Linked DNA regions of Rattus norvegicus. The protein of the gene in region 4 purifies or fractionates together with the protein of the main gene of each other region. This does not show direct contact. Links are inferred from orthologs where the notes say so. Each region holds a gene or a part of one and is shown on either strand. Other genes may lie near its edges. The genes, in order: Eftud2, Clns1a, Wdr77, Riok1 and Coprs.

The links.
Region 1: the proteins of Riok1 (region 4) and Eftud2 purify together in Homo sapiens (affinity purification with mass spectrometry; 3 studies listed by BioGRID). This does not show direct contact. The link is inferred for Rattus norvegicus from reciprocal best matches to the Homo sapiens genes RIOK1 and EFTUD2.
Region 2: the proteins of Riok1 (region 4) and Clns1a purify together in Homo sapiens (affinity purification with mass spectrometry; 3 studies listed by BioGRID and IntAct, with this or other methods). This does not show direct contact. The link is inferred for Rattus norvegicus from reciprocal best matches to the Homo sapiens genes RIOK1 and CLNS1A.
Region 3: the proteins of Riok1 (region 4) and Wdr77 purify together in Homo sapiens (affinity purification with mass spectrometry; 5 studies listed by BioGRID and IntAct, with this or other methods). This does not show direct contact. The link is inferred for Rattus norvegicus from reciprocal best matches to the Homo sapiens genes RIOK1 and WDR77.
Region 5: the proteins of Riok1 (region 4) and Coprs purify together in Homo sapiens (affinity purification with mass spectrometry; 3 studies listed by BioGRID and IntAct, with this or other methods). This does not show direct contact. The link is inferred for Rattus norvegicus from reciprocal best matches to the Homo sapiens genes RIOK1 and COPRS.

What each region holds. Positions count from the first base shown.
Region 1 is NC_086028.1:88,338,336-88,344,363, forward strand, and holds part of Eftud2 (116 kDa U5 small nuclear ribonucleoprotein component), read right to left. Parts: intron 4,328-6,028; 5' UTR 4,324-4,327; coding exon 4,219-4,323; coding exon of another isoform or gene 4,218-4,218; intron 285-4,217; coding exon 119-284; intron 1-118. UniProt on the Homo sapiens protein: Required for pre-mRNA splicing as component of the spliceosome, including pre-catalytic, catalytic and post-catalytic spliceosomal complexes. Component of the U5 snRNP and the U4/U6-U5 tri-snRNP complex, a building block of the spliceosome.
Region 2 is NC_086019.1:161,442,635-161,448,662, forward strand, and holds part of Clns1a (methylosome subunit pICln), read left to right. Parts: intron 1-517; coding exon 518-616; intron 617-1,397; coding exon 1,398-1,505; intron 1,506-2,792; coding exon 2,793-2,966; intron 2,967-4,764; coding exon 4,765-4,832; 3' UTR 4,833-4,853; exon of another isoform or gene 4,854-4,857; intron 4,858-6,028. UniProt on the Homo sapiens protein: Involved in both the assembly of spliceosomal snRNPs and the methylation of Sm proteins.
Region 3 is NC_086020.1:196,129,572-196,135,599, forward strand, and holds the end of Wdr77 (methylosome protein WDR77), read left to right. Parts: intron 1-470; coding exon 471-541; intron 542-664; coding exon 665-719; intron 720-1,157; coding exon 1,158-1,229; intron 1,230-1,847; coding exon 1,848-1,956; intron 1,957-2,416; coding exon 2,417-2,485; intron 2,486-3,215; coding exon 3,216-3,375; 3' UTR 3,376-4,282; downstream 4,283-6,028. UniProt on the Homo sapiens protein: Non-catalytic component of the methylosome complex, composed of PRMT5, WDR77 and CLNS1A, which modifies specific arginines to dimethylarginines in several spliceosomal Sm proteins and histones.
Region 4 is NC_086035.1:26,973,878-26,979,347, forward strand, and holds part of Riok1 (serine/threonine-protein kinase RIO1), read right to left. Parts: intron 4,020-5,470; coding exon 3,954-4,019; intron 3,001-3,953; coding exon 2,881-3,000; intron 1,581-2,880; coding exon 1,527-1,580; intron 409-1,526; coding exon 256-408; intron 1-255. UniProt on the Homo sapiens protein: Involved in the final steps of cytoplasmic maturation of the 40S ribosomal subunit. Involved in processing of 18S-E pre-rRNA to the mature 18S rRNA. Required for the recycling of NOB1 and PNO1 from the late 40S precursor.
Region 5 is NC_086034.1:82,420,815-82,427,604, reverse strand, and holds the start of Coprs (coordinator of PRMT5 and differentiation stimulator), read right to left. Parts: upstream 4,126-6,790; 5' UTR 4,100-4,125; coding exon 4,031-4,099; intron 1,697-4,030; coding exon 1,630-1,696; coding exon of another isoform or gene 1,626-1,629; intron 1-1,625. UniProt on the Homo sapiens protein: Histone-binding protein required for histone H4 methyltransferase activity of PRMT5.

The DNA.
Region 1 (6,028 bases), on a different chromosome or scaffold from region 4:
CAAAGATAACTGACTCTTAACCTAGAAATAATACTGAAAATTAAAGAAAAGTTGCCCAATTCATTCACTGAACTTTGAAGATTCTCTGACAGCTAGGCAAGGTTTCCTCCAGCCATACCTGTGAGGGGCTGGGTGTCCTCCTCCTGGACTATGGTCTCCACCTCAGGGCCATACACCTCCTCGGCTGTAGGGTAGTACTTCTTGTCCTCATGTAGCACCACCTCCATCCCAGGGTGGTCATCATCGTGCTCGCCCACATCATCCTCGTCCTCATCCTCATCCATCTAAAGACAAGAGAGAGAGGGCGGACAGAGAGGTACCTTTTCCTGCCTGACAACCAGCTGAATCTTCCTTCAAGCCCTGTGCTGGTGAGGGGTTCCCTACCGCTGGAAGACCCTCCCCTCAAGGGACTCTGGGAGTCTTGGCTATGGCCAGCTCTGTTGCATCAAACTTGTTCCACTCTTGATTCCATTAAGACTGGCCACAGTGGGTTGAGATTAAAGAAAACAAACAGCACTGCCAATTAAGAGAAAAACAACCCAAAATCCACTTTCTCCAAGGACAAAAATCAGAAGCCAGAGGTAGAAATTAGGAACAAACTTGTATCTTTAAATTTTCACTTAGGTTGACAAAACTGATTTTGAAAAGTTATCTCGATGGCAGGCAAAAACAGGCGTTGGTGAGGATTAGGATTTAAAAAGCTGCAGCCTGCACGTGCTGGGTGGGGAAATGGTGGTGCTGCTCTGGAAAGATCCGCACTTCTTCACGTTCAGTGTAACACGAAATCCAACCAAGCCATTCTAGTCCGAGACGCTACCCTAGTTAGGCTTCCCACTGCTGTGACGAAACACATTTAGGAGAGGCGGGAACACTGGGATGAGAGTAAACTGAAGTCACATAGGAGGTAACGGTAGAGAACCTTCTGGATTATTTAAGTAGTGTGATGAGACACCCCCTCCCACCTTGTTTTTTAGTGCATTTGCGTGTGTGGAGGCTGGGAAGGTATTGGCCTCAAAAACACCCTCTCTCTCCTTTGAGACAGTCTCTCACTGTGACCTGCTCAGGATCCACCTGTCTCTTGCCTTCCAACAGTGGGACTACAAGAGCACACTGCCACACCTGGCACTTTCATGGGTTCAGGGACTGAACTTAGGTGCTTGTGCTTGTACGCCAACTGAGCTGTTGTCCTTGGTCCTGACTTTATTTGTTCTAGAAGGGTGGCTTTCAACTAGGGTAATTTGTAGCAGCCGTTATAGCTCAGTGTCTTGGGAGTAAACCTATACACTGTCTGTGCATATAGGGGACAGGAGGACGACATACCCCACCCTTTCCACCTTGAGAACACAGAGGGGAAGGTTAGTTAGGCACCTACTGTAGTAACTTGGGAAAGATGTGGTAACTGCACCATGCATCTGTGAAGGCCCCACTAAGTTGCCCAGGCTGGCACTGAACTACGTACCTAGCTAGAATTATGTGCAAAGGGTTTTTCTAATACAGGGTTTCTCTCTATAACCCTCGCTGTCCTAGAACTCAGACTAGACGTGCACTCAGAGATCCGCCTGCCTCTGTATTTGCCACCGTGCTCAGAGCCAAGGTTTTAAGGTAAGACAACATGCTGTACACTGCCTGGGATGACCCACTAGTGAGGAAAAGCTGCTGGAGCAGGAAAGGGAGGAAAAATGATGGGTGAAGGCCCTGAGTGGCGAGGGGAAGGGGGATGGGAGTTGGCTGACTAGAAAACAATTTGTCCACAAGAACAGAGCGGAAGGCATTGTGTGCAGTGAAGTGGGTAGATACAGTGGTGGGCGTTTGTTTTCTTTCACACAAATTCCAAAATGTCAACCTGTTTTTTAGAAAAGAATGCAAATACCTGCGGTGGTGGCTGCCTGGCCACCTCCTGCCATCTGTATATTCTGCTTCTATTAAAGCAGCCCAAGATTACATCAGCGCTTTCAGCAGCCAAACATATCCTACTGGTAATGGCTCCAAAATAGCTACCCAGCCAGTCTTCTGTCCCATACAGCTGAATGCATTAGGAAGGGAGCCGTGGGCTTTATGTAATAACTCCTACCTCCTCTAACCATCTCTACTTGAGCATGCAGTAGCTCAAAGGAGCCTGGAATAAAGCTAACAAGCACCCTTAGCGTTCCCTTTGTCTGTCCGTCTGTCTGTCTCGTTCTAGCTCCTCAGCATCCTCATTCCCCTTCTCCCTTCATACTCGAGTGGAGGCCCAAGCCCCCGCCTTCACAGGGTTGCTGGCAGGACTGCAAGCCCTGGCTGGTTGTCAGGCCTCTAACCCCCTTTCACTGAAAGAAGAACTCCAGCACTCTGCTTTGACTGTGCAGCCTTGGCTGTCCCGGACCTCACTGTGTGGACCAGGCTGGCCATGAAGTGCAGTCTGGGTCTCTGCTGGAATTCAAGGCTGCATCGCCTCATCTGGCTCTTATCTGTTTTCTACTCGGGGCCTTCAACTCTCTGACCCACCTCCTCTGCTACACAGCCACAGCTGTCCTCTAAGTACTAGACTTTGGCGATCTGGAGAAAAGATGGTTTACCAGTTAGTTACCTGTGGACCTTCTCCCTGTGCTCCTTCCCTCCTGAATGAACACCCTTCTTACAAACTCCTATGTATCAGAGCTCCAAATAGCTTTTTTTTTCTCTTTCAAGACATGATTTTTCTGTTTAAGAAAACATCAATTCATATAAGAAAATCTTTTTTTTTTTTTTTTTGGTTCTTTTTTTCGGAGCTGGGGACTGAACCCAGGGCCTTGCGCTTCCTAGGCAAGCGCTCTACCGCTGAGCTAAATCCCCAGCCCCAAGAAAATCTTTTAAATTAAAAAAATTTTTTCAAGGGGTTGGGGATTTAGCTCAGTGGTAGAGCACTTGCCTAGCAAGCGCAAGGCCCTGGGTTCGGTCCCCAGCTCCGAAAAAAAGGAAAAAAAAATTTTTTTTCAAAACAGTTTTCTCGGGGGCTGGAGAGATGGCTCAGCGGTTAAGAGCACCTGACTGCTCTTCCAGAGGTCATGAGTTCAATTCCCAGCAACCACATGGTGGCTCACAACCATCTGTAAAGAGATCCGATGCCCTCTTCTGGTGTATCTGAAGACAGCTACAGTGTTCTTATATATAATAAATAAATAAATCTTAAAAAAAAAACCCACTTCAAAAAAAAAAAAAAAAAAAAACAGTTTTCTCTGTGTAGCCCTGGCTATCCTAGAACTCACTTTGCAGACCAGGCTGGCCTTGAACTCAGAGATCCACCTGCCTCTGCCTCCGAGTTGTTGGGATTAAGGGCATGAGGTACCACAGCTCAGCTCTAATTCCATTTTAAGAGAAATTACTTAATTCCTTTTTTGTTGTTGTAGTTGTTCCACGGCCTCTCCTTTCCACCCTCCATCTTGGCAGTGTTGAGGACTAAATCCAGTGTACCTTGTGCACACCAGGGAAGCAGCCTACACCGAAGCTCTATCACCACAGTGGCTCTCAGCTGACCTCAAGATTTCCCTAACGCCCCACCAGGGTGCAATTCCTCCGGACCTGCAGACAGGAACACACTGAAGATGCAAGCTGTCTCCTTCACCAAACCCACAGGCAGCTTCAACTTTCTTTTCCTAATGCTTATTTCTTTCTAGCTTGAGCAACATTTTCCTTTATGGAGCCCGATGGCAGCCAGACTTTGTCCCCATCCCTGCTGTCCCATGAAGTTAAACCCCTTGCAAATCCAGACCCATCCAGCACTAAGAAATGGGATGAGACAGTTTTTCACTGTTTGACTGTTTTATACATTTATATCATGAAGTGTCTATTTTTATCCGCCCCCTCTCGTGCTCACTAAAATCATTCAGTGAGACCCTACTTTCATTAAATCTACGTTTTACTCATTGAGTTCTGATTAATGCTAAAAGATAAACCACTTTGGATGCCTGTTGCTATTTGAATGCAAACTGTCTCTCACTTGCTCACGTTTGAACCCTTGTCCTCTCTCCCAGTACAAGTCATACAAACTATTCAACAGTAGCTGGGCATTGGTGGCGCATGCCGTTAGTCCCAGCACTCGAGAGGCAGCAGCAGGCTGGTCTCTGTGAGTTCCAGGATAGCCAGGGCACACAGTCTTGAAATCCACCCCTCAACCCCTAGGAAGCATTAGAGATGCATGCAGGTCATTGTGGGAACATTGTCTGTAGAACGAGAGGGGTAAAGAAACAGTGTTTGTTTTACCTCATCAAGATCTTTTGTCTCTCTTCCCAGTTCATCGTCATCTTCATCAGAATCAAGCTCTGGTCCGATATAATTCCCAAATTCATCATACAAGTCAGTATCCATGATGCTACAGTTCAAGGACAGGAGAGTTAGGGTCTGGCAGGTAACGAGGGCCTGCCCCACACCCTTACCTTTCCCACCATATGGGCAGGAGTCGCCTGGTAACTGACCAATCTACTGACTAGTGTTCCCAGAGGGCAACCTTTCTCCACTTCTCTGCCCTGGCCATTCTATCTACTTACAGCCCACAAACATCCTTTATTTAGGGACAAGGCCTCTTTGTTGCCCAAACTGGCCTCAAACTCTATGAAGTTCATGTTGGTCTTGAATTCCTGATCTTCCTGCCTTAGCCTCCTAAGTGCTGGGATTATAAACATAGGCACAGGCCCGGCTCTATTTATTTATTTTCTGTATATGGGTGTCTTGCCTGCATGTATATCTATGTCCCATGCTCATAGGCACATGTCACACACAGAAGCCAGATCCCCTGGAACTGGATTTGCAGACAATTGTCAGCTAATGAGTACGATGTGAGTTGAACCTGGGTCCTTTGAAAGAGCAGCCAGTGGTCGTAACCACTGAGCCATCTTTTCAGTCACACTTAGCTTTATTTTTACCCTTAAAGATAGGTTCTCACTGCTACCCAGTTTGGCCTTCCTGTGTCTCTGCCCTAGTGCTGACATAATGGGTGTAAAACTAATGCCTAGTCCACCTCCCCTTTCTACATTTACTTAATCAATTAAACTTATCTGTGTGTGTGTGTGTGTGTGTGTGTGTGTGTGTGTGTGTGTGTCTGTTTGTCTATGTATAATTTTATACACATGTCTCCAAAGACAGCATTGGATCCTTTGGGAACATGAAGATTGCCATGTGAATGCTAGGATCTGACTCCAAGTCTTCATGGCTGCCTAGAAGTTACTCTTAAATTCTAAACCATCTTTCCAGCATCTTACTTTAAAAAAAAAGTTCTCAAAATATCACAATACAATCATCAAAACAAAAACATCAATACCAGCAGGTTATTCTACCTAATGCCAAGTTGAAAAACTGTTCCAGTCATGAATTATACAGCTAAGGACATAAACCAGGACTGTACACACCCTGAGGTATCTTTATCCTTTTAATCTAGAATGGCTTTCTAGTCTTGACTTTCACGACTTGACATTTTCAGACCACAAAGCAATGCTTTGTATCAGCAATCCCTTCGTGTGGATTTGCATCTGCTCTTAGCGGTACACCATTCCTCACTGATGATTCTCGCTGTGCCCTCAACTATGCTGACAGCGGACATGCTTGTTATAAAAGTACTCATTTTCCCTTAGTGATGATTAAGAACTCATTGTTCTTACTGCTCTTTCAAAGGACCCAGGTTCGAGTCTCAACATCCACACATTAGCTTACAATTGTCTGCAATTCCAGTGGATTTTTCCCCCACTTCAGTGACTGATATCCTGCTCAAAGGAACAGTTTAGATCCCACCCTTCAAGCTTTCCTAGCCCTTCAGCCTCTCACTTCTCACTCTCTTCAGTATCTTCTGTCCCAAATGCTAGGTGACTACTGTTATTCTCACCAACAACTCCTCTACAGTTTGTGAGCAACAAAAACCGAAGCAGGGGAAAAGCATCAGGCCCCTGGAGTTAAAGACCTCGCTCCATCGACCTCACTCCATCATCGTATCTCAGCCTCATCTCTAACGATGATGTTAACTCGTGGAACTGCATTTACCTCCCTAGAGTGAATTATCACAGCCTAAGACCTTAGAAAGGCG
Region 2 (6,028 bases), on a different chromosome or scaffold from region 4:
AAGCTATTACTCCCACCCCTAGTCTCCTTGAGCATTCTTTATCTACAAACTATTACACATTTATCTGAAATCGTCTCACTTCTCTGCATAACCATCAGTAAACACTGAATTGCAATATTTAGATATACTAGTCAATTTCCTAGCTTGTTCATTAAATTTTTTGTGTATATATTTGCTTCTCCTTTTCAAGTACAAGTATTTCAGGCACATACTACCAGGATCTAGCTTCAGTGTCTTTAAAATGTGAAATAAATATTTTAAGTTTTTATTCCTTGAGACTGGAGAGACAAACCAGCAGTTATGAGCTCCTGCTGCTCTTTCAGAAGACAGAGTTAGGTTTCCAGGACCCATGTCAGGTGACTCACAGTGCCTCTAACTCTAGCTCCAGGGGACTCAATGTCCTCTTCTGGCTCCTGTATGCATTCTGTACATAAAGCTTATACTGGCACACATAAGTAAAGTCTTAAGAAAAACTAACTCTTAATGTCTAAAAAGGTTACTTTTATTTCTTTTATAGAAGAATCAAAAGAACCTTTCTCTGATGAAGATGAGGACGACAATGATGATGTTGAACCCATTTCTGAGTTTAGATTTGTGCCCAGTGATAAGTCAGCATGTGAGTGTTGTGATACTGATCTTTTCTCCATATGTCCCCTCTCCCATTGGTAAGCACACACCTCTCCCCTTCATTACCGTTACCTCCGTTCTGTTGCTTTATCCTGTTTAGTCTCCTTAAAGTCATTGAGCAGGTACTTATTACTGTCCCAGGTTGTGGATACAGTAAGAATACTGTGACTAGCATGGTATCTGGTGCACTTTGTGCAAGGAGGACTCTGGTCAGTCTGATTGACTCTGTTGACTCAATGTCAACGGCTGGAAACACTTCCAAAGTTGAAAATGTGGAGATTTTTGGAAAGTATGTCATGTGACAGAGGCTTTTTCCTAATTAGCAGTGTGACCAACATCTCTGACCTTTTTTCTTTACTCTTTCTTTTCCCTTTCTCTTTCCTCTTTTCAACAGGGTCTCTCTATATAGTCCCAGCTGTCCTGGAACTATGTAGACCAGGCCTTAAACTCAAAGAAGTCTGTTTGCTTCTACCTTATGAGTTCTGAGATCAGAGGCCTGACCCACAACACCTGGGTTGGCCTTTTTTTCTTAAATCCAGCCACCAATGAAGAGATATTATAATGTCTTGAATCCTTACTTTGTGACTTATTCATTGTCTTCAAGCATTTTCCATGGTCAATTTTCATTTGAATTTTATAGATTTTATAAATATAGTTAGCCTAGTAAACCTTTTGTCTGCTTTTAAATTGGTTTGTAGCAGTGGTTATATTTATTCTAAAACTCTGTGGTGCACTGGAAAAAGTATTAGTTACAGTTTCCTGTCCTTCAGTGGAGGCGATGTTCACAGCAATGTGTGAGTGCCAGGCCCTGCATCCAGACCCTGAGGATGAAGACTCGGATGACTATGATGGAGAAGAGTATGATGTGGAAGCACATGGTCAGTGACTTGGGTCTCAGGTTGGCGTTACTGTTTCATTTTAAGCATGTGCTAAGGGCATACAATTTTTAGGTTTTTTTTTTTTTTTTCTATAAAGGAACCCATGTAAAATGGCTGTAAATAAAGGTCCATTAGCATACTTGGTGTCTCGGCCCTTTCAGCAGACAATTGGGGAAATGAATGGCTTTCCCAAGCTCAAACAACAATAAGATATTAGGGGTGGGGAATGGATAATAGAAACAAATGGGAAAGACAAGGACAGCTAGAAAGTCGGTGGTCAAGAGCATACCTCAGTCTGAGCTGGCTGTCCCTACCCTCCCCACTGAGAAATCTGTTCATGTATATCTCTTTAAAGTTGTGTTTAATTTGCTTATCTTACATGTATGAGTGTTTTGCCTGGATTCCTATATGTGCCCTCTGAGGCCAGAAAAGGGTTTTGGAACCCCCTGAGTTTGAATTATATGGTTGTGAACTGCTAGCTGGGTGCTGGGAACCAAACTGCAGGCCCTGCAAGAACAGCAAATGCTCTGACACCACCGAGTTGTCTCTCTAGAGTTCTCTTGATATCGCACTTTAATTTCCTTTTCCCTAAACCCATACTTCATTTATCCACAACTATTTTCCACTGCCTCCAGACCAGAATGTGCTCCCTTGCTCTGGTAGGTTGCAACCTAAGGCACAAACGGTCTCTTTGGCACCAGTCTGGGCATCTACAGTTCTTTCCTACACAGGAATCCAGTTCCCAGCCTAAGACTACCCATTTCTGGAATTATTCTTCACATACACAAATATGTTCTCATTTCTTAGAGATTTTTTTAAGTGATTTTCTGTTTTTGTCCCTTTTATATTCTTTTAGATTTTCTGGTTTTTTAAAAAAGGAAAAATATGTTAATTCAAAATTCTTTCAGTCAAATTTTGTATTTATTCACTTATAAAATTCCCACCTTGGAATATTCCCACCTTAGAATAATAAAGGATTCACCAATTTTAAAAACACCCTCGGGGCTGGGGATTTAGCTCAGTGGTAGAGCGCTTACCTAGGAAGCGCAAGACCCTGGGTTCGGTCCCCAGCTCCGAAAAAAAGAACCAAAAAAAAAAACCACCCTCTTTTCCTTCTGGTTTTCTAATTCTAATGGGTAGGGACATATTTTTCTTTTCTTTTTGGAACTCTTAATAATGACCCTATCAATAAATACCGGAAGCCTGTACATCTCCAGCAAATGCATTATTTATTGTCCACTGTCTTTTTTTCCCACTGCTGTATAAAATCGTGTTCTGTTTGTTTAGAGCAAGGACAGGGGGACATCCCTACATTTTACACCTATGAAGAAGGACTATCCCATTTAACAGCAGAAGGGCAAGCCACGCTGGAGAGATTAGAAGGAATGCTTTCTCAGTCTGTGAGCAGCCAGTATAATATGGCAGGCGTCCGAACAGAAGATTCAGTAAGAACTTACGAAGGTGAGTGCCCTTTCTCTTCACCTCATGTGGTGGTCATGTGGCGGTCCTGTGGCAGTCCTGTGCTTTCTGATCTCGAACTGCTTATGTGCCACACCCAGACTTAAAGCACATCTCTATATACTTCTCTTTTTTGGGGAGGGGGGGTCTATTTTGTTTTGTTTTTGAGACAGGGTTTTTCTGAGTAGCTTTTGGCTGTCCTGAAACTCTTGAAGTAGACCAGTCTGGCCTTCAACTCTGAGATCCACCTGCCTCTGCCTTCCTACTACTGGGATTAAAGGTGTATGTCACCCCCCCTTATATGTGTACATTTAATTCTTTTTAGAATAAAGTTTATGAAAAGTTTAAGGATAAGTTTATGATCCACATTTTATCCATTAGACAGCTAAAGCTCAGAAGGGTTGCATTGCTTGAGGTCAAACAGCTGATAAGAGGATTATTTCAGTGAACCATTATATAAAAGTAATATGCCTGCCATTGTCATCAGCACCTCTTACATTTTATGTGTTTAGTATATATTAGTATTTTATGCTCTAGGAACATTGTAACACTGTTGTTTTCAATGACTACAGGACATTGTTGAAGTGGCTTTAGTGTGTCTTCTCTGGTCCCCTTTCACTTCTCCCATGGTGCTGTGATCAGTATCACATGCATACAGCATATTGACCTGAGTTTTGGAGTTCTGGGATAGTGGCAAGGATGGGGAGATGGGGTAGGAATTGTATCTTACTGTATTGCCCATGCTAGACACAGACTAGTAAACTCAAGTAATTATCGTATCCCAGCATGCCTTACTCACATGTGGCAGGTGAAGAGTTGGGAGAGAGTCAAGAGTGAGAAAGTAAACAACTACAGATGGTTTTTTCCAGAGCACTTTTTTTTTTTCTGCCCTCCTCACATTTTTTTTTAAAAACTGTATTCTATGTGTATATGTGTTTGCCTGCCTGGATATCTGTGCTCCTTTGCATGGTTGTGGAAGCCAGATGCCCTAGAACTGAAATTGTAGACAGTTGAAATCTGCCATGTGGGTGCTACAAATCGAGCCTGGGTCCTATGAAAAGTCGACAGTGCTCTTATTCTTAAGTGCTGGACTATGCCTTTAGCCCTCATCCCATGCCATGTTAGTGAGATAATGGAAATGGGGAGATAAAGTTTGCTGCTGTTGTTTTTCTGCTCTGATTAATGCATTTGAAAATCCCTGCCAGCCAGACCTGGTGGCATGAACTTGTGATCCTAGCGCCTGATGTGAGCCCACAGGACGCAGTGACTTTGAGCTTGTCTAGGCTACATAGCTAAACATTCCAAATTTTTTTGGAAGAAAAGGCATAAATTGACTCCTGCCTAGGATTTGTGGGTTTGTATGTGTATGTGTGTTGATATTGTGGATTTACAAAGTTAGCTGTTTAGATTGATTTTTAATTTGACTTAAATCCACAGGTGGCTCAGATAACTTTGTTTTCAAAATAGAAAGAGTGGAATTGGAGGTGTTAGATAGCCTGAAGTGGTGGTCCACCTGCAGTCCTAGCCATGGGCCTGAGGTCAGGAGCGGAGGATAGCCTGAACTGCATGAGACCCTATTTCAAAAACAACAAAATGCCCAAATTTTTAAAATGCAGTTATTGTTTTTATTGTATTTTTTAGATTGGGTCTCACGTGTAGCTTAGAAGTACTACACAGACTAGACTGGCCTTAAACTCACAGAGTTCTATCTGACTGCCTCCCAAGGGCTGGGACTGCAACAGGGGACCACCATGCCAGGCCTTGCTGAGTCAAGTGTCTGAGAGAGTGTCTTTATGTACAGATGGCATGGAGGTAGAGACCACACCAACTGTTGCCGGACAGTTCGAGGATGCAGACGTTGACCACTGAGGATGACTCGTGTGACTTACAGTGAGTGAGTAGCTGATTCTCTCTCGTTACTGCATGAGGATCCCTGAAACGACAATGGGCTTAAAGAGTTCTAGGAAGGTAGCAGTTTTAAAAAATGTTATCCATCTCTGGTTACTGGAAATTACTTGGGTTTTGCCCTACAAACATCTTTTAAGTTCAGTTCCAGAAAGATATGACGCCCTCTTCTGGCCTCCACAGGCACTACATGCACATGGTACACATACATGCTGGCAAAATACACACACATAAGATAAATATATATATTTTAAGTTCAGTGTTTCTAAATTACTGCAGTTATAGAACTAACGATGCATGGTAACGATGCATGTTTTCTTCTAATGCGGCTATCAAAAAAATAGCCTTAGAGAAATTCTGTGGCTGTGTGGTTTATATCTCTTCCCATAAATGTTTTCCTTCCCTGCATTATTGCTGCTTTTGTGTAGTCTGTAGGCAGCAGACTCTCTGCTCACATCACTGCGAGCTTTCCTGGTGCCGGTTAGTTTTCCGCTCTCACAGTCCCAGACATTGATAACCCACCACCGACTCCAGGCCTGACCTCCCTTACTCATCATCACGTTAGTGACAGCTAACTGCCTTTGAAGGGAAGGGGCAGTGGCTAGCATTATAAGTTGTTAGTAGCCTGGATGGGAAGTTTTTCTTCTTTTTTCTCTTAGTGGATTTTTTTAAATTTACATTTAAATGTTATCCCCTTTCCCTGTTTTCCCTCCAGAAACCCAATATCTCATCCTCCCCTCCCCCTGCTTCTATGAGGGTAACTCTCTTATCCACCCACCCATTCCCCCCCACGCCCTGACATTCCCCTATGCTGGGGCATTGACCTTTGACAGGACCAAAGGCTTCTTCCATTAATGACAAGGCTATCCTTTGCTACATATGTGGATGGAGCCATAGGTTCATCCCTGTGTACTCTTGGGATGATGGTTTAGTCTCTGGGAGCTCTGAGGGGTCTGGTTGGTTGAAATTGTTGGTGCAAACCCCTTCAGCTCCTTCAGTCCTTTCTCTCATTCCTCCATTGGGGACCCCATTCTCAGTCCAATGATTGGCTGCAAGCACTCACCTCTGTATTTGTTAGGCTCTAGCAGAGCCTCTCAGGAGGCAGCTATATCAGGCTCCTGTCAGCATGCACTTCTTGGCATCTGCAATATTGTCTGGGT
Region 3 (6,028 bases), on a different chromosome or scaffold from region 4:
CTTTGGCTTTTACTGTGAGAGCCTTAGGTTTTCAGGCTCTGAACTCTGGCTTGGGAAGACCTGGAAGGGCCGAAGGGAGGTATGGATGAGCTCAGCCTATAGGGTGGGAGACGTGTGATGGGAAAACAGGCAAGTTCAGTCTTAGGGGAAGGCATATTAGAAAACTCACGGAAGACAGCACCAGAACTCTCAAGTGTTTCATACTTAAGAGGTATGTGTATTGTTAATATGACATCGTAGAGTTAGTAAGCCTCTTCCTTCACACCATCTACATTGCAAACTCCTCTCTGCCTACTAAGCCTGCAATTGAACTTCATTGTTTTTACCAGTTCATTATTTCTGCCAGCCTTTTCCTGTTTTATGACTATTAACTTTGACTCTGTTGTAGTTTATAGTCTGTTATATTTATTGAATTATCTAATGAAGCCAGCTTGTTTCTCACACTCCCTTTGCCATGTTTCTTTTCACAGCTCATGCGGGACAGGTCACCTGTGTTGCTGCCTCTCCCCACAGAGAAACTGTGTTTCTTTCATGCAGTGAGGTGAGATCCAATGGCTTCTTCCCAACCATAGCTAACCCTTAGTAGGCCCAAATCCCTGGTCTGGAGCTTGGGGAGTAGATGCTGTTTTGGATTGTGTAACCCTTTCTCTATTCCTTTTCCTAGGACAGTAGAATTTTGCTCTGGGATACCCGCTGTCCCAAGCCGGCATCACAGATGGGTGAGTCTGAGCTCCATGGTAAGGAGGAAGTGGTAATGGGGCCCACGTGCAGGAGGCTTTTGCTGCTCACAGTCACAGCAGAACTCTTAGATGCCCACCCTCTGACAACACTGTTTTCTGTCTCACTGAGACTTTGCTGACCACAGTGCATGGGGTACCCAGAGTAAGGGTTAGTTTCCATGTGTAGTTTACTGTGCAAACAGCTGGGCAAAGGGTCAGGGTTATTATTTTTATGTCTTGTGCTTTTAGTTGTACAGGAGATGGCAGGAGATGGATGGGTAGATGTAGGTGTAGGCTCAGGGGTGAGGACATACATGACTGCTCTGGCAGTCTTTAAGAAACTCAGTGAAAGTGCTCCCAGGATTTACTGACTTCTTTTGGAAGAAGCTTCTTCTAGGTTGTGACCATTGTTCCAAATCTCCCTTTTTTCCCTTCCAGGCTGCAATGCCTCTGGCTACCTCCCTACCTCCCTGGCTTGGCATCCTCAGCAGAGTGAAATCTTTGTCTTTGGTAAGGCAGCATGACGTATCGACTCTGGGAATGGGGCGGATACCTTGGAGTACATGCTCCTGTCAGCACACTTGGGCACTGCATGGATTATGTCGGTTTTACCTAGCTTTGGAGACCATCATTTTTTCCTAATAGGTTTGCTTCATTGTTTCAGCTCCTTTATTCTGGGCATGGTTAGAAATCAGTGAGCTGCATAGCAAGTGCTTGCTGTTAGGGAACTATGTTCTGCTGTGGTGTGACTACACATGGCAAGAGTTTGTAGTTAATGTAATAACTTTATCCAGTAATTCACAGCCACATAGTGACTGACTGATTCTATATCACAAAGGAAACTGTTGTCTACATCTTGAGAAACTAGGATTCATTCAAATCTCCCATCTGACTGACATCAGTGTCTATGGCTTTTTTTTTTTTTTTTTTTTTTTTTCCCTTCAGCCAAGACAGGGTCTGTATGTAGATGTAGTTTGGACTGTCCTAGAACGTGATAGGCCCAGTTGGCCTTGAACTCTGAGATCCTTCTGCTTCTGCCTCTCATCACATACTAGGATTAAAGGTGTGTGCTACTTAGCCCAAATCATAAATTCTTAACCACTGTGACATGCTCTCTTTCTTCTACAGGTGATGAGAATGGATCTGTCTCCCTTGTGGACACCAAGAATGCAAGCTGCACCCTCAGCTCAGCTGTGCACTCGCAGTGTGTCACTAGACTGGTGTTCTCTCCACACAGGTACTGTTTGTTACCAGGAACCTGGAAGGGATGGGTGGGGACTGTAATGAAAGAGTAGGAGTGGAGTGATACAGGGATGTGTCTATTTGGCAAAGCGTTAGCTGCTTACATTGGACCTCAGATAGGGCAGTACTCTAACCTGGTTTTCCTAAGCTTGTCCAGATAGTCTTTATTTGGTTTGTGTAGTTTGGAAAGACCTAAGATGTAATCTCACTCCTGCTCAGAGCCTGTGGGTGGGTAATTGCTAATGTAGGGAGGACCCTTGGGCTGGTTGGTTTCCGTGAGCACTGGCTCTGTTCCATCTTCCTTGGATGTAATGGTGGTAAGATCTGAACCCAAAGTGGGCATCAGACTGCCCTCTCCCCGGCTCACTTTACAGTGGGGTTGGGGCTGGCCCTGTTAGATTTCGGTTGTAGAACCTATGGGCATTATCTTCTCTTCCCTTTGTGTCCTCTCCTAGTGTTCCCTTCCTGGCCTCTCTCAGTGAAGACTGTTCACTTGCTGTGCTGGATTCAAGCTTTTCTGAGGTGTAAGTTTGAAGTAGAATCCTGTGGTCGGGAATCAGGGATCAAGACCAGTAGGCAAGCAAGTCTGTTTTCTCTTCAGGAACATGCATGTAGAATTCTTCCTTTGTTGGGTCTGGAGAAATGGCTCAGCAGTTTAGAATACCTTTGTTTCTAACATCTGCATCAGTCTGTACATAGCTGTTTGTAACTCCAGATCCAATGCATATGATACCTGTGTGCGTCCGCACTCAGTTGCACACCCACCCACATGGAGATTATTAAAAATAAGTATAAATACAAGAAAATTCTTCATCTTTGTCTGCAGAGATATCCCCTCCCCCAAGTCGTCTCTGTTTGCAGCTGTGTGTCTAAGACCGAGTGCTGGAAGCTGTCTGATTGTAGGCTGTTTACCAAGCGCTCCAGCTTCATGCAGGGCGCCACTTCTGAGAAGTGGAACTTGCTGTAAAGCACTGGATGGAAGGCCTGGGTGTGTCCCTCTGCCATAATTTCCTGTTGACTGTGGGCATTATTGCTTCCGATTCTGTCCACCATTTCTTCACCTAAGAAAGTAGACTGGATTGGATAATCTAACATCCACTGGCCTGGTGATGGGGCTGTGTAGATGGTGAAATGTTTCAAAAAATGTGTCATAAGTGTATGTTATTAGTTTTTTTTTTAATTTTTTTTTTTAATCGTTCCTCCTGGGTTTTCATCTTTTCTCTTACCACACCACATTTTCCCCTCTTGTTCTAGGTTTAGAAGTCGAGCCCACAGAGACTTTGTGAGAGATGCTACATGGTCTCCACTCAATCACTCCCTTCTTACCACAGTTGGCTGGGACCATCAGGTCATCCACCATGTTGTGCCGTTAGAGCCTCTCCCAGCCCCTGGACCTGACAGTGTTGTGGAGTAGAATGGATTGCAGAAGAAAAGAGCCTTCTGTCTGCAAGTGTCGACTCGCTTGCCCCTGCCTTCCATTTGTGAGAGAGAGAGCACAGGAGCCTTGTAGAGCATGATTACTCCCTAGTCCCGTGCAGTAACTAGTCAGATTCTCAGCCTGAGGGAGGCTGCATCCCATAGTGACTTGGAGGAAAAAGCTTCCTTTATAAATGGATGTATGTGTGAGTACACGTGTGAGTGCAGTGTATAGTTTGGAGTGGAGAAAATTATCCTTCAGCTTTCCCAAAGCAATGCTCTTTACCCCCGACAAAATGACCAGAGGATTTTATGCTTCCCATGTCTGGGGGCTGACTATGTTGTTAGGGATATGGAGTGTGGGTATCCCTGGATGCTTGGGAATACTTCACATTACTCAGAGGTGCGTAACTTATTTTTATATAGAGTTTAATTCACTATATGGGAATTACTTCCCATATACAAAAGTCTAGCCAGACTACCTTGAGAAGACAGAACAGTTTTGTACGAATGCCTGTTAAATGGAATCAAATCCACTTTCTGGGTGAATCAATTTGGCCCTTGGAGTTCGCGCTCGCTCACCCTGTGTTCCTTCTTTTGTGTTGTGTATGAGAGATGAGTGCTTTCCTGTCCTAGATTTCACAGTTTTAGGGATGATGGAGTACTTAAATTAAAAGTGTTTCAGTGAAGCGAGAAGATTGACATGGATTGTTACAGAGAAATCTGTCATTGTCATTTTTCCCACCTAAAAATTCCCTGAGGACTGATCTGGGTACTTTGCTCTGGAGAGCTGAAGTCTGAGCGCTGTATATTTGGACTCCTAAGATTGAAGATCCGGCATCAGAGAAACTGTCAAAAATACTGGAAGGTGAAATAAAGACTTATCCTTTCATCTTTCCTCCAAAGCTTATTTATTACCTGCTTTGCTTAGGTGAGTCACCTGAGTATCAATCAGTCTTAACTGCCCACTGTCTTTGTAGTCTACTGTTCGCAGAACATCTAGAACTTATTTATTTATACTTGGCATTGGTGGACTAGGCACTCCGTTAGCAATTATGGGTCAGTAACTGATCTTATTAGAGCTTTACAACTTTGGTTTAGGAAAAGCACATAAAATGGGCGCCCTGAAGGACCATGAGCTTCCATTCTACTCTTGCCAGTCAAGAGCCTCTCGTGATCACCCTTGAGTAAAGCACTTGAATTTGCAGCCTGTGTCAGTCAGGACTTGGAATTTTACTAAGTTCCAGGGAAGGCGTAAGAGGGAGGTAGAATCAGTCTCTGCTTCTCAAGAGATAAAGCTTGTATTTTGTGTTCCTTAGGGAAGGACAAATTATCCGTTTACACGGCCTGCTTTGGCAGGGGGGAAACCTGAAGGGAATGAGTAAATAAAAGTTTGTTAGAATGGCTAAAATAACACCAAAGAAGAGAAATGAGGTTTTGAAGGATAAGGTACTCAGAAAAAGGCCTTCTAAAACTCATATAGCATCATAACACTGCTGTGTTTAGAGTATGGAGCTCTGGTTTTAAAAAGGTACTGCATTTGGACAGTGTATAATATCTTGTATTTTCTTTGTGTTTTGGTAGTTGTCTGGTTGAGCCCACAAAGTAAATGTGAATTGAAAAATATATTTTTTAACGTGTGTGTATGTGAAGGCTTAGGGCATCTACCAGAATCCACGTGTGGAGGAAGCTAAAGACAATTTGTATGTAATCAGCATTCATGTTGAGTTGCTTATTGCCAATACGGATAATGTTGGGGTTTGGGAGTTGGGAGTTTAGAACCAGAAAATTGCTTTTGTTGGGGAAAGGGTAAGCAAGATCCAATCTCAAACACTGTCTCAAGAACTTCATGTCTAGTCTACAATACTGGAAATAGGAAAAACAGGGTAGTAAGGTAAGTAGGCCACTGTTGAGCATCCAAACACATTTCCTTGTGAGATTTTAGACTTTCTGTGAGGAAGCGTAGCTGTTTTTATTGTGTGGACTTGAGACAGGTACACTCCAACAGGGCTGAGGAAGGAATACGCTTCTGGAGGGGAGGAATAACTGGTAAGTTGCAATGAACATGGTGCCTGGTTCTAGTCTTTGATAATGCTTTGATGTGGTCCTCCACTTACTGTGGAATACTTCAGTCTTCTGCCATTCTGTGTGTAAGGAATGAACTGCTGGAATTCAGTGACTCAGTAAATAGAATTTAGTCTCTAATGTACAGTTCTGGTGGGAGCCAGCCAGTATCATTGTTTGAAAACTCACTTCCTTGTCCCTGTGATGTTAGACAAGCATTTCATTTTAGAGGCATTGTGCTAAAAGCATTAAGAATTTGTTTGAAATGAAAAAGTTGCACTCTAGTAGTGATTCTCTAGAGTGGATTCTCAGTGATACAATGAATTGCACTTGAGAATACATTTTACATTTACATGCTAAATTAGCTTCAGTTCTACACTTACAGTTTATCAGAATTTACTTGGCACTCTCCAGGCCTAATAAACTGGGTGTGTTTGGTTTCAAGGATTTGTATTTTCTCCTTCCAAAGGTAGACGACTTAACTTTTGAACCTGTAGTTACAGGGGTAGTCCTGGATCCTTCAGTAGAGAGCTCACAGCATCAGCCTTGGGAATGAGGGCCTGTCTCCAAAAACAAAATGAGAAACC
Region 4 (5,470 bases):
CAATACCCTTGTATATGTTATTTGATGTTTACAAGTTCCATGTTTTAAGAGAAATAACTGTTAGAAAGAAATGAATATTTGCTTCTGGTAGATGGACATAATGTGTCCTCTGTGACATTAAAGAAGCTTCTAATAGCAGCTAAGTCTCTAATTTACTCCGAAAGTAAAGTTTGCGTTTAGTTATGGAAGCTACAAGTAGAGGCACCATTGATGTTTGAGGGCCACCGCACTAAGAGGAGTAAGATCCTGGCTGACCTTTTTATCAACGTCAGGGTCAGCAGTATGGTTTTGGCATCCGGCTTGATCTCCCTGCTCTTCAGGGTCTGTGTCAGAGCACTCAGAGCTCCCAGCATCGTCTGAATCAAAACAAGTCTCTTCCTTAACTTCACTTTCTAGGAGCGCAGGGACCTTGAAATTATTATAGAACAATGTTACCTGAAGCCAAGTACTTATCTGTTGGTCAACAAATTAATGCCAGCATTTTACATCAGTATGTCAGATACTCTTTCAGGTTATGCACTGAAACATCAAAACAGAATCAGCATTAGGGAGAAAGATGGGTAACATCATTCACTCTGGTAGGACTCAAGAATATACACAAAGGGATTAGCAGGGGTGTTGGACCTTTTGATGCTGCCTTTTACAAATGTGCTGGGTTACACTCACAGCTACCGTGGCATGCACATCTCATTACCGGGGTTATACAGCTGGGTTACACTCACAGCTATCCTGGCATGCATGTCTCATTGCCGGGGTTATATGGCTGGCCTAAATTAACAACACGACTCTGCCACTTTAAGCAAGACAGATAATTGAGCTGGGATTTGTAAAGAATGAGAAATACATAGGTGGTAGTCATAGTAGTAATATCTATCTGGGTGACTTCACAACTGTTTGCCTGTGTACTACATTACTAGCAATAAGCTAATCTAACCAAAATGAACAGTCAATCAAGAGGAAGTTTCATTTTCTCTGAAATTAAGTTATTTAACTTTTTCCCTTCTTTTTCCATTTCCTTGTCTTACAGGTAAGTGAATGGGTCCTGGGAACAGAACTCAGGTCCTCTGGAAAAGCAGCAAGAGCTCTGGATGGCTGAGCCAGCCCTGACATGTTTCAAGACTGATTTTAAAAACTACTAAAAAGGTTTATGGCTATCATTAATTACTCCAGCATCAAAGACAACCAGGATTAATGACAAATATCTCACTTCTAACAGAAGAATTCAGAGACAGAATAAGTACGTGTCCAAATTTAATTCTAATACCACTTTACTGTAACTTTTATATCTTCAAACTCTTATAAACTTCAAAAAGAGTTTCCACGGGCTGGCAAGATGGCTCATCGGGTAGCCTGACAATCTAATTTGGATCCCAAAGACCCATGAGGTGGAGAGAGTCAACTCCCCAAAGATATCTTTTGATCACCACACATGCGCTGTGACACACTTGTGAGCACACACACAAATAAATGCAGGATTTACGGAATAAACTCCGTTATAAAGCACTAACAACATGTGCTGTCCATACCTTCTGGACTCCTGACAAATCTTTTTTCAGTCCTGTGACAGTCTGGTATAGAATCTTGAAAACAAAAGGAAAACAAATATAAGCATAATATATATAAAAGACAAGAACATGTATATACTGTACCATTAAGCATGGACTAAACAGTAATCCTATGACTCAGAATGCACTCACAGTCTACCACAGTAACACAGAGAGGAGCCTGCATTATTCTGGTATCCCAGGCGTCTCCACAGGCTCAACCATCAAACCCGAGAGTTTTCAGGTAAGCTCTGCAACCCCCAGATGACAGTGAACACTAACTTGGACTTCATTCAGTGAAATGGTACTCACTCCACAAACAGTCCTATTCTGTTCTCACCAACAGAGCTACATGGCAAAAGTTGTAGTTATTACTAACAGTGCTTCCAAGGGTTGGCAAGATGGCTTAGTGACTAAAAGTGCATGCTGCTCAGGCATGAGGATCAGAGTGGGGATCCCAGCTCCTACATTCAGTGGCTTAGACGCCTCCAAGGGCCCCAACACCCTTTTCTGGCCTGAGGACACACAAATGTATACATACAATCACACAGCAAATCTATAAATAATATTTTTTTAAAAAGTGCTTTTAGGCCAGAGAGCTAGCTCAACAGATGAAGGAACTTGTCATAAAACCTGACTATGATCTGCAGAAGACACATACAGTTGGAGACACGTGATCCCACAAAGCTGGCCTCTGGCCTTCCTACAGGCACCATGGCATGCATGCTCTAGCTGACACATGTCTAACACACATGGTAATATATTTTTCATACTTTTGTTTCATGCATGAAAATCTGGAAAACACTGCTTTGCTCTTTATATAAAAACTTATATAAACAACTAAATTTTGCTACATGGCTGCAAAGCCTAAAATATTACTTTCTGGTCCATTAACAATAATTTCCCTCCAAGGGAATTGGAGAGATGCACTGTGGCTAAGAACTTATTCTGCTCATGAAGAGGACCCAGTTTGGTTCCCAGCACCCATGCAGGGAAGCTTACAAATCCCTCTTAACTCCAGCTCCAAGTGACCCTAACACCTCTGGCTTTTAAGGACATTGGCATTCCCTCATGTGACATACCACCCCCCTAATTAAAAATGATAAAGATATTGTAAACATTCCTTCAAATATGTGTGAAAATGAAGCATAGCTTCATCAATCTACTACAACCATTTTTAATCCTAGACCTCACCTTTTTACTAACTATAGTTCTCCAGACACTACAGATACAGCACCCCTCTCTTACATCCAAGGAGCATTCCCTTTATGGCCAACAGGTATGGAAGCATGTCCACACAAAGGGAGCTGACACTCACTGGCACCAAGCCACTCACATTGTCCTGCTGAGTGTTCAAAGCCATGTCCTCTTCCTTTAACCTCATCATTATGTCCACATCTCTCTCATAATTCTTTACTTCATTTAAGGTTCTGGGAATATATGCTTGTTTGAACACCTAATAGAGGAAAGCAAAATTAAACCATTATTCCTGTACTCTTCCCATCCCCTCAGTACCCTTAGCTGTGTCAATCACGCAGGAACGTACTGTCACTGCCAACGCCGACTCTCACTCAACCTGTATACACACTGGTGTCGTGCCTGCCATGTGGTAAGCCAAAGGCAATTTGGTAAGCAACAATGAGATTTTACAACTGACCTAGGGAAGAAAGAGAGTGTATTCCCAATGACCCTTAGAGTAACACTCCTCCCATACATGCACATTTCAAAATGCATCTGAGGAAGGACAGGATGGAGTAACAGTTAGCAAGGACAGCCTGGCTGTGAGAAACTGAATACCCAGTATTCTCTCTGTGTAGAAATATCTCAACTCAGCTTCCACAAACTTCTAAGAATAAGCTACAATTAAAATAATAATAGATATAACAATAATAATAATAAGCTGATTGTGGACCTTAATGAAGATTTCTTGACTTCTTTAGACTAGTTTGATTTTAATTTTTAACCAAGTATTTAAAGTCTGTTATATTTACACAATCAGCACATAGGTCATTTAAAAATTCACACCTGCAAATGAATAGGCTTTTCCTTCTTGACTCACACCCCACTAGCTCTTTTAAAACTCTACCGGAACAACAGGCTAAAAGGTTGCTGAGTACAGCAATATAATTGAATAAAAACCAAGCTCATGCTTTACCAACAAAAACAAAACCATGATAAATCCTATAACAGGAGAATCAGTTGGAAATGATGGCACACATTCATAATTCTAACCGTCAGGCAGCCGAAGCAGAGTGAGTGCTTGTTTGAGGCCAACCTGTACCACATATCAAGTCCTAAGACGGCCTGGTTTATATGAAGACTCTGTCTCAAAACACACAACAGAACACCCCAGAGTTCCAAGCAAACCCACAAATGTTCCCCAAGGCTGTGAATACATAATAACCCCACCTCTTCATCCACATGATCTTGGCTAGTCTTTTCTTCCATGGTCCTCTGAGATGCTATTTCCATAGCCTTTGAAAGAAAAAAAATTTCCTTTACATTTACCCTAGAAGACACATTTTCTACTATGTAATTAGTTATTTTTTCTCATCTTTACAGGCCTCACATCTTCTATGGTGTAAGCTGGCTTTCTATCAAAGACCTGCCAGCCATTTTAAAAACTAAAATAAACCCTTCTAGTCTCAAGTCACCTTTGCTGCCTTCTTCAAAGTCTCCGTGGTGGAGCACTGCCCGGGATCTACAAATCCCACAACCCCAGCACCAGCATCACTCACACCCAACTCATGGCCAAGACAAGAAGAATGAACTTTTTAAACTTAATTTTAAACTACTAGCAGAAATCTTTCTCAGAAGAAAACTGAGACTCAAATCACCCACAAAGTCGCTTGAGTAACAGTAACTGGAAGGAGACAGAGGCTCCTTGACTTTACAGGGTTCTTGACTTTAAAATACAGGGAGGGCCAGCGAGGTGGCTCAATAGTTAAGGGCATAGACTGTTCTTCCAGAGGAACAGAGTTCAATTCCTAGTACCCACACATTGGAGAGCTCAGAACTGCCTGCTACACCAGCTCCAGGGAGATCCAATGCCTCTGGCGATACAAGCATCCACACACACACACACACACACACACACACACACACACACACACACACACACACACACATGCATGCACGTGCACATACCAATAGGTACACACAGTAAAGTAAAAATATCTTTCAGAAATAGAGAGGAAAGAACATTTATTTTCTGGTTTTTTTAAAGTATACTAATGGTTTAGAGATAAAAATACTTTGATAGTCAATACATGTATGGTGGTTTGAATGAAAATGGCTACCACAGACTCAAAGGAGTAGCATTATTTGAAAGGATTAGGACATGAGGCCTTGTTGGAGTAGGAGAGGCTTTGTTTAAGAAAGCCTGTCACTGAAGGTGTTGTTTTTAGGTTTCTGAAGCTCAAGGTAGGCCCAGTGGCTCACTCTCTCTTCCTGCTGCCCACTGATCCAATGCAGACCTCTCAGCTGCATCCCCAGCACCATGTCTGCCTGTGAGACTACATGTTTCCTGCCATGAAGATAATGGACTAAACCTCTGAACTGTAAGCCAACCTCAAATGTTTTCCTTTTTAAGTGTTGCTGTGGTCAAGATTTTTCTTCACAGCAATAAAAACCCTAATTAAGACAAGATGTAGTTGCCTAGTACATAATCAAGAGTTCATAATCTACCAAACACGGTGGTACACCATGACCCTGGCATTTCTGAGGCAGCAGCACGAGGAGCATAAGGTCAGGTGAGATGGGGCTACAAAGTAAGACTATCTGAAGGAGACAAAAACCCCCAGAGAGACAAATGAAACGAACAAACGGGCTGGAGGTGTGCTCAGGAGCAAAGAGTGTTGGCACAGCACTCGCTGAGCCCTTGCTTTAACCCACAAACTGCTGTGGGGCACAGTCATCATCTCAGA
Region 5 (6,790 bases), on a different chromosome or scaffold from region 4:
TTTCTGACAGCCCTTGTCTAAGGAATCAGAAAAAATCTAGACACAGCTCTTTTGATACTTGAGCACTTAGTATTTAGTTTATATTTTTGGAAATGAAGTTGACCACGTTTTCCAAGATGTTTGTCTTAAACTAGGCCACTCAGTACAGAGGGTGTTGACTTATGAAGGGGACATCTTCAGGTAATTTACAATGAACCCAAAGGCCTCTGGCAAAGTGTACTTCTGCTATTCAAGCCCGCATCCCACGTTTCCTTTTGAAGCTTGTTAGATGCAAGTCCACAAAGGAAAACAGAACAGGGCCTGTCCAGTCTGCACGTTCTTCCTCCTGAATTCAGAGAAGCCACATGGTAACATGACAAAGCCTACGGAAGGCCAATGGACCTCCAAAACACGGGCTGCTGTGGCGATACCGGGTCTGAGGAAAGGAAGTAAGTGGCCTGGAAAGCCATGGTGTTAAGACTGTCGTCACAGCTGTAAAGCACTGAAGTGGAGAGGGCGGAGTCTGGAGACCACTTCAGTCAGCTCTGTCCTGAGCTGTTCGACACTGAAGGTCCTGACTCCTCAGTAACTTAAACACGGAATCACCACACGCCCTGGCAGCTCTACTCGAAACAGTGCCCACACAAGAACTATAAAACACATTCCAGACAAAAAGAAGTTCAGTGTGACACCATTCCATCACCAAATGTCATGTCATCAGAGGATGAATGATCCACAAAATGCAGGATACCTGATGGACGTGTTCAGTCTCGTGAGGGATGGGTGCTGACAGAGGCTGCTACAGGAATGGACCTTGGAAATGTGCTGAGTTGAGAGAAGCCGGGCCATGAGGGACCATGTATTGTATAATTTCACTTACTGTAAATTCACACTTGCATGTGCATAATAGGTAAATTATTAGGGGTGGGGGAAGCTATCAATAGGGGCTCAAGAACTAGAGAGTGGAAAGTGTTTATTCCAGGTACAGGACTTCTTTCTGGAGCCATGAAAACATCCTAGCCGTAGTTGTGACAGTTGTACACACTGTCATGGAGCTGAATGAACCAGATCATATGCTGTAATTTAGTTTAATGGTAAACACAAGTTATATGTCTTTTGCTGCATTTTAAGACTTTACTATGCACCTTAAGTTTCTCATTGGTGAAACAGTCATCAGGTTGTTGTGAGTTTATTTGGGGGGGGGGGGGACAGCTGGATCTGTGCCTGAAATACAGTGTGCACTCGGCACCGGCTCTGGCCGTACCCATTCTGTGCCCAGGTTGTACAGACCAGCACTGCCTGTTAGGACTCTCCTCCAGGATGGAGCAGAGCATCACGGAACTACACGGTGGCGAGTATCCTGGGTAGCATCACTACAGATCTTCTAACTCAACCTGGATGTGTAACGGAGACTTTTCCTAGCTTCACACACCAGATGCTTTTCATAGTCTCAAGCTGTTCCTCCCAGTGAAATGGGGTGGTTTGGATCCACGGGCATCCAGTACCTCCTGGAAGCTTGCAAACCAACAGTTCCACTCAGACAATGGGCAAAGAGGGCTGGCCAACACGAGAAGACAGACAAGACAGAGGGACCGTGCTGTTTCCCTCCATCTCTTCCAGGGGACACCCCAGTCTCCACCGTCTACTTGCCTAGTCGGTCCACGTCTAGCTCAGTCTCTGTCTCCCCACCAGAGAGGTCAGCTGTGGCAAGACCAGCCTGTGGAAGAAGAAATAATCACCAGGAAACTGGGTATGTGGGGCGTGTCACTGCTCTGAAGCCCCAAACCCTCCCTCCCATACTGCCCTGCGCAAGGCATCACCCAGCAGCACTTCTCCGCTCTGACCACTGGGTGTGCCCTCCTGCAGTGGCCAACTGACAGATGCTGGCTTTGCTCTCACCCCTGGGCCCTCTTCAGAAGTCTGGGCAGCAGGACTTCCCCAAGCTCACAGACCCTGAGGCTAGATGGGACAGCTCCCTGGACTCAGTTTGTAACCTCAGGTCTGTGGAAACTCTTTCCTCTAAGTTTATGAACACTTCAACTGCCCTAACTTCATCTCTCTTCTTCTTGGCTAGGATTGACTGCTGTTTCCCGATCCTGCAACTTCTCTGCAAACCTTTGCCTTTTTCAGTTCTTTGTCTCAATGTCTAACAACTCCTAACAAAGCCATGCCCGCAGTGGTCCATGGGGGAAGCCGCCTGAGTTCTAAACACTGGAAGGAATACCTAATCCCCACTGCCAACCAGGAATGTTATGCCCTGTTACTTCAAAGTTCCCCAAACTTTATTCCCCCCAAGATCTCTCTGCAGTGGAACCCGTAATGTCCAGAGCGTGGATGGTCAGGCAGAGTTCATTCAGTCTTAGCCCTGCCATTCATTCAGGGTGTGACCTCTAGAAACAGAAATGGTTGTTATGTCCTGGGAGGGGTCCTATGATGAAGGGACATTCATAAAACATCCACTATGGCTTGGAGACAGAGCTCAGTGGGAGAGTGTTTGCCCTGTGTGCACAAAGCTCCACACTGACTTTCCAACCCTACATAACATACTACAGGTGGGTCATACTCAGAATCCCAGCATCTAGGAGGGAGGGGCAGAAGGGTCAGAAATTTAAGATCATTCTTGGCCACAAAGTGAGCTCAGATCCTAGGCTACATGAGACCCTATCTCAAAAAAAAAAAAATTACAATAAAATAAAGCCAACAACAATAACAAAACCACCTGTTAAGACTTCAAGGAGGTAACATTTCTTTGACTTTAATCCACTTATTTATTTATTTATATATTTACTTTATTTGTATATAATTGTATGTGCGAATCTACCAGGAGGATCCCTGGAGAGGGAGTTGCAGAGGGCTGAGACATCTGTTGTGGGTGCGGAGAACTAAGCCGAACTCTGTAAGACCACCAAGGTTGTCTCTCCGGCCTTAAGCACCCTTCATCCTGCATGTAAACTGTACTTAGCACTCACCCAAATTAGCGTTCATTATCTAGTCACTCCTGAGCTTTAACAGCTCAATTCATCTCTTGTAGTCAGTGATAACCATGGGCCACTGTTGCCCCCCTAGGAGCTGAACGTCTTATGTGAACCTATGCCCATCTCTCTACTCCTGCTCACTCTTAGCAAGTGTAATCACTCCTCCACTCAAAACCTTCACAGGCCCTCTGCTGCCATCACAGACTGGCGATGGCATCCATATTGCCTCTCACGTTCCTCAACTTGCTGAACACAGTCCTCTTCCTGAAAAAGGCCTGCCCTCCGACCCAAGCTCCAAGGCCATTTGCCCCGTACTTTCTCATATCCAGACCTTTGCTGGGCCTACCTTCTCACCCAAAAACATCCTTTCCAGCTCCGCCCTGACTTTCTATTTTGCAAAAGTAATTTTCTTTGCAAATCTATTGGTGCTGTCGCTTCAAGTACCATCTGATGGTACAAGTACTGATGTCCAAGTAAGCATTCCACTCATACACCCAATTAGCATATACGTTGTGCCAGGTACAGGCGTGGCTTCTGGTAAAAAGGATGCCTACAGTCAAGAAGTCACTGGAGAGGTAGACGCAATAAGGGCAGGTCGTGGGAAAAGGCTGCATTGGCGGGCACTTGAAAACAAGTTTCTGGAAACCCCGTAACACGACGGGCTCTTTCGTTTTGTCAAATGGGGAAAAGCACGGGTGACATCAGCGGCACATCCCTATCAATGGCCAGAGGTCCTCAAGGTAAGGTTAAAAAAAAAGATGTTTCCTCGCCGCTCCCGCCTGACCCGGCCCCCTGCTGCTGGAACCAGCTCGGGGCGGCCAGCTCCGCGTTCTTTGCATTCACTCCCGCAGGAGCTCCCGAGAAGCCCCGGTGTTCTCTCCCTCCCGCGCCAGCCACAGCCTAGGGCTCGGGTCCACGCGCGTTTCCGCGCCCACCGCCGTTACCGGACAGGCTCTGCGCGCACTCGCGCGGCCCCGGCGTTTCCCGGGTGAGCGGTCTCTCCGGAGCGCTCGAGCCCCTCGACTTCCAGCCCGGGTGGTCGCGGGTGCCCGCATCCCCCACCCCGTGGCGCTCACCTCCGCGCTGGGGGCCTCCCATGCACTCGGCTCGCCCGGCCCCGGACCGGTGGCTGCCTGAGGGTCCATGCCGGGCCGCCCACAGCCAGGCGCCCGGGACGCTCCGACACGTGACGGCTGACAGGCTGCGGGCGAGCCAATCGGCGCGGCGCTGCGACCGAGGGGGCGGGGCGGCGCAGGGGCAGCGCCGGACGACACGCCCACCTGCGTTGTTCCGGACCGCAGGCTTTCCAGCCCTATCTGACCTCAAGCGCTGGTTTAGAAGAGCCTTAGGCCAGACTGGCCACTGAGCGTTCCTAGGCACCCGGGACTCCCCAACCGCAGTGTGAAATGACCCGAGAGCATATAGAGCCCACCCGGCTGTCACACAGTCACAGCCTCTGGGCTCCATCACTTTCGCTCTTCCCCATCACACGGTTTTCCAGATCGCCCTCTGCACCTGCACTACAGCATCTCTTAATGAGTAACTCAGCAGCCTGGAGAATTGCTGCTTTGATTTAAGGATAGTCTTTAAAGCCAATCCGCTAGGAACCCGGATAAAGGATCAAAACAAACTACGTGCCACCACAAAACGTGGTGTGTCATCGAATTTGGAGTCAAAGCCAGTGCTCCAAGTCAGTAATGTGACTATGTTGAATAATTCTCCGTTATAATTCTCCGTTTTCCATTTTCGTCTTTCCATGATTAATCTGGCTATTTTTACTGGCATATTGAGTACGGGTAACTAACCTAACTTCGGACACGGGTTGTTAACACCCCCTCCCCCAACCCCCTTCCCGCAGTTCAAAACCGTTGGGTGATAGAAACTGACAAAGCTGTCTTTAGTGGTCAAAGTCCTACAGTGTACAGTCTGGTTTCCCCCTAATACCTCAAAAACATAAGTCAGCGGCTAGCTGGAGATAGCAGTGTGTGTGTGTGTGTGTGTGTGTGTGTGTGTGTGTGTGTGTGTGTGTGTGTGTGTATGTGTGTGTGTGAACAACCCAGCTGCAGAGACAGCCTTTACTGCCTCCGCTCCCCCACAACAGCCTAAACTCCAGCAACAACACATGTCTACTACACATATAAGTTGGCGTATACATAGACATAAATACTAGAGATGAAAATTTCCCACCTGGGCTAACAGTGCTTCTTTAAGAGCCATCAACCGTCTAACAAAAATCCCAAGACCAGGCGTGAATACACCCCTTTAAGTTGCTGGCGAAGGTTGTCCAAGAGACGACTATCAATATATTATAGGCTCTTGCTATTGCCCTTGGCTGACCTTCATAGGTGAAAAGTAAGTTCCTACGGTTGAAGACACCATATACTTAAACGCAGGGTCCAGAGGCCCCTGACTGGAACTTAGCTGAAAGCCTCCTCCCTGAGGGATCAGCTTTCATGATTCCAGAAGATGCTATGCAAGCTTCCAACGGAGGAAAACAACGGATAGTTCTACCTAGCTATGAGACCTATGGACCACGACAGTGACCAGCACGGCACAATAATCCTCACAGAGCAGTAATGGTGTGTATGCCTCGGCAGTAACCAACAGCGTTCTAATTGGACCTAAAACCTGCTCGACAAGAGGGGAATCATACTAAGTACCAGAAACCCAGCCAACTGCTCGGTGTCAGTTAAGTGTGGCTCTTGGAAGAAAAGCAACAACCACCATGTTATGAAACCAGCATGATACTTAATTACTATGATACTTAAATACATGATAATTAATTACTCTAAATATCTGTCCTCAGACCCACAGACAAGTCCAGTTTCAGTCCTCATCGAGGAAACTCTTTGTAACAGATGGAGACCATTCCAGAAAACCACAACCAGTCAACACGCAGAGCTGTGGAGCCCAGTACCAACAGAAACATCTACAATACAACTCCCACACCTGAGGCTCAGGATCTCTGCAGAAGAGCGAGTGGAAACAATGTAGGAGCCTAAGTAACAGTTTTCTGTGCCATTGTGTCTCTTAGAAGTGTCAGAGGTCCCAGCTAGACAGTTTCACCAACATAACTGCCTGATCATGAGCTGGACAAAGATGAGACCAGTAGACACGGGTAGGGGAAAGCTCCCAGAGCTCCACCCTGCACACAGGCAACTAAGGATGCTGAGAGTGGGAGAAGCAGTCTTCCCAGGAAAGAGCACCTTTGGTTAACCAGTACCCGATGGTCTGCCCTGAAACACAGATACACATACAAGTAACACGGTATAGACTGAGCAGATTGGATTTAGGTACACATCCACACACACATTTCATACAACACTTACACACACACATTCACACAGACATGTACACACACACTTCCCTCACACATCCATACACATACACACACATATATTTCACACATACACACATTTCATACAACACATTCACACACATTCACACAGACATGTACACACACATTTCTCTCACATTCACACACATGTATACACACACATTCCACACATAACACATTCACACATTTCTCTCACATTCACACACATATATGCACACACATTTCTCTCTCTCTCTTTCCCTCTCACATACACACACACACACACACACACACACACACACACACACACACACACGACTAACATGTTTCCCAGGAGATACTTGCTTCGCATTGCATGATTACCATCCCTACAGCAGCTTGGAGAAAGGGTTGGACTAAGGAATCAGAAATATTTACGTGCCTTCTAGCTTTATTTTAAACAGGAGTCTTGCTGTATAGCCCAAGTTCAGTTAGAAATCTGGGTCTTCCTGTCTGTCTCAAGCGTCTCCCTGCTTTCCGA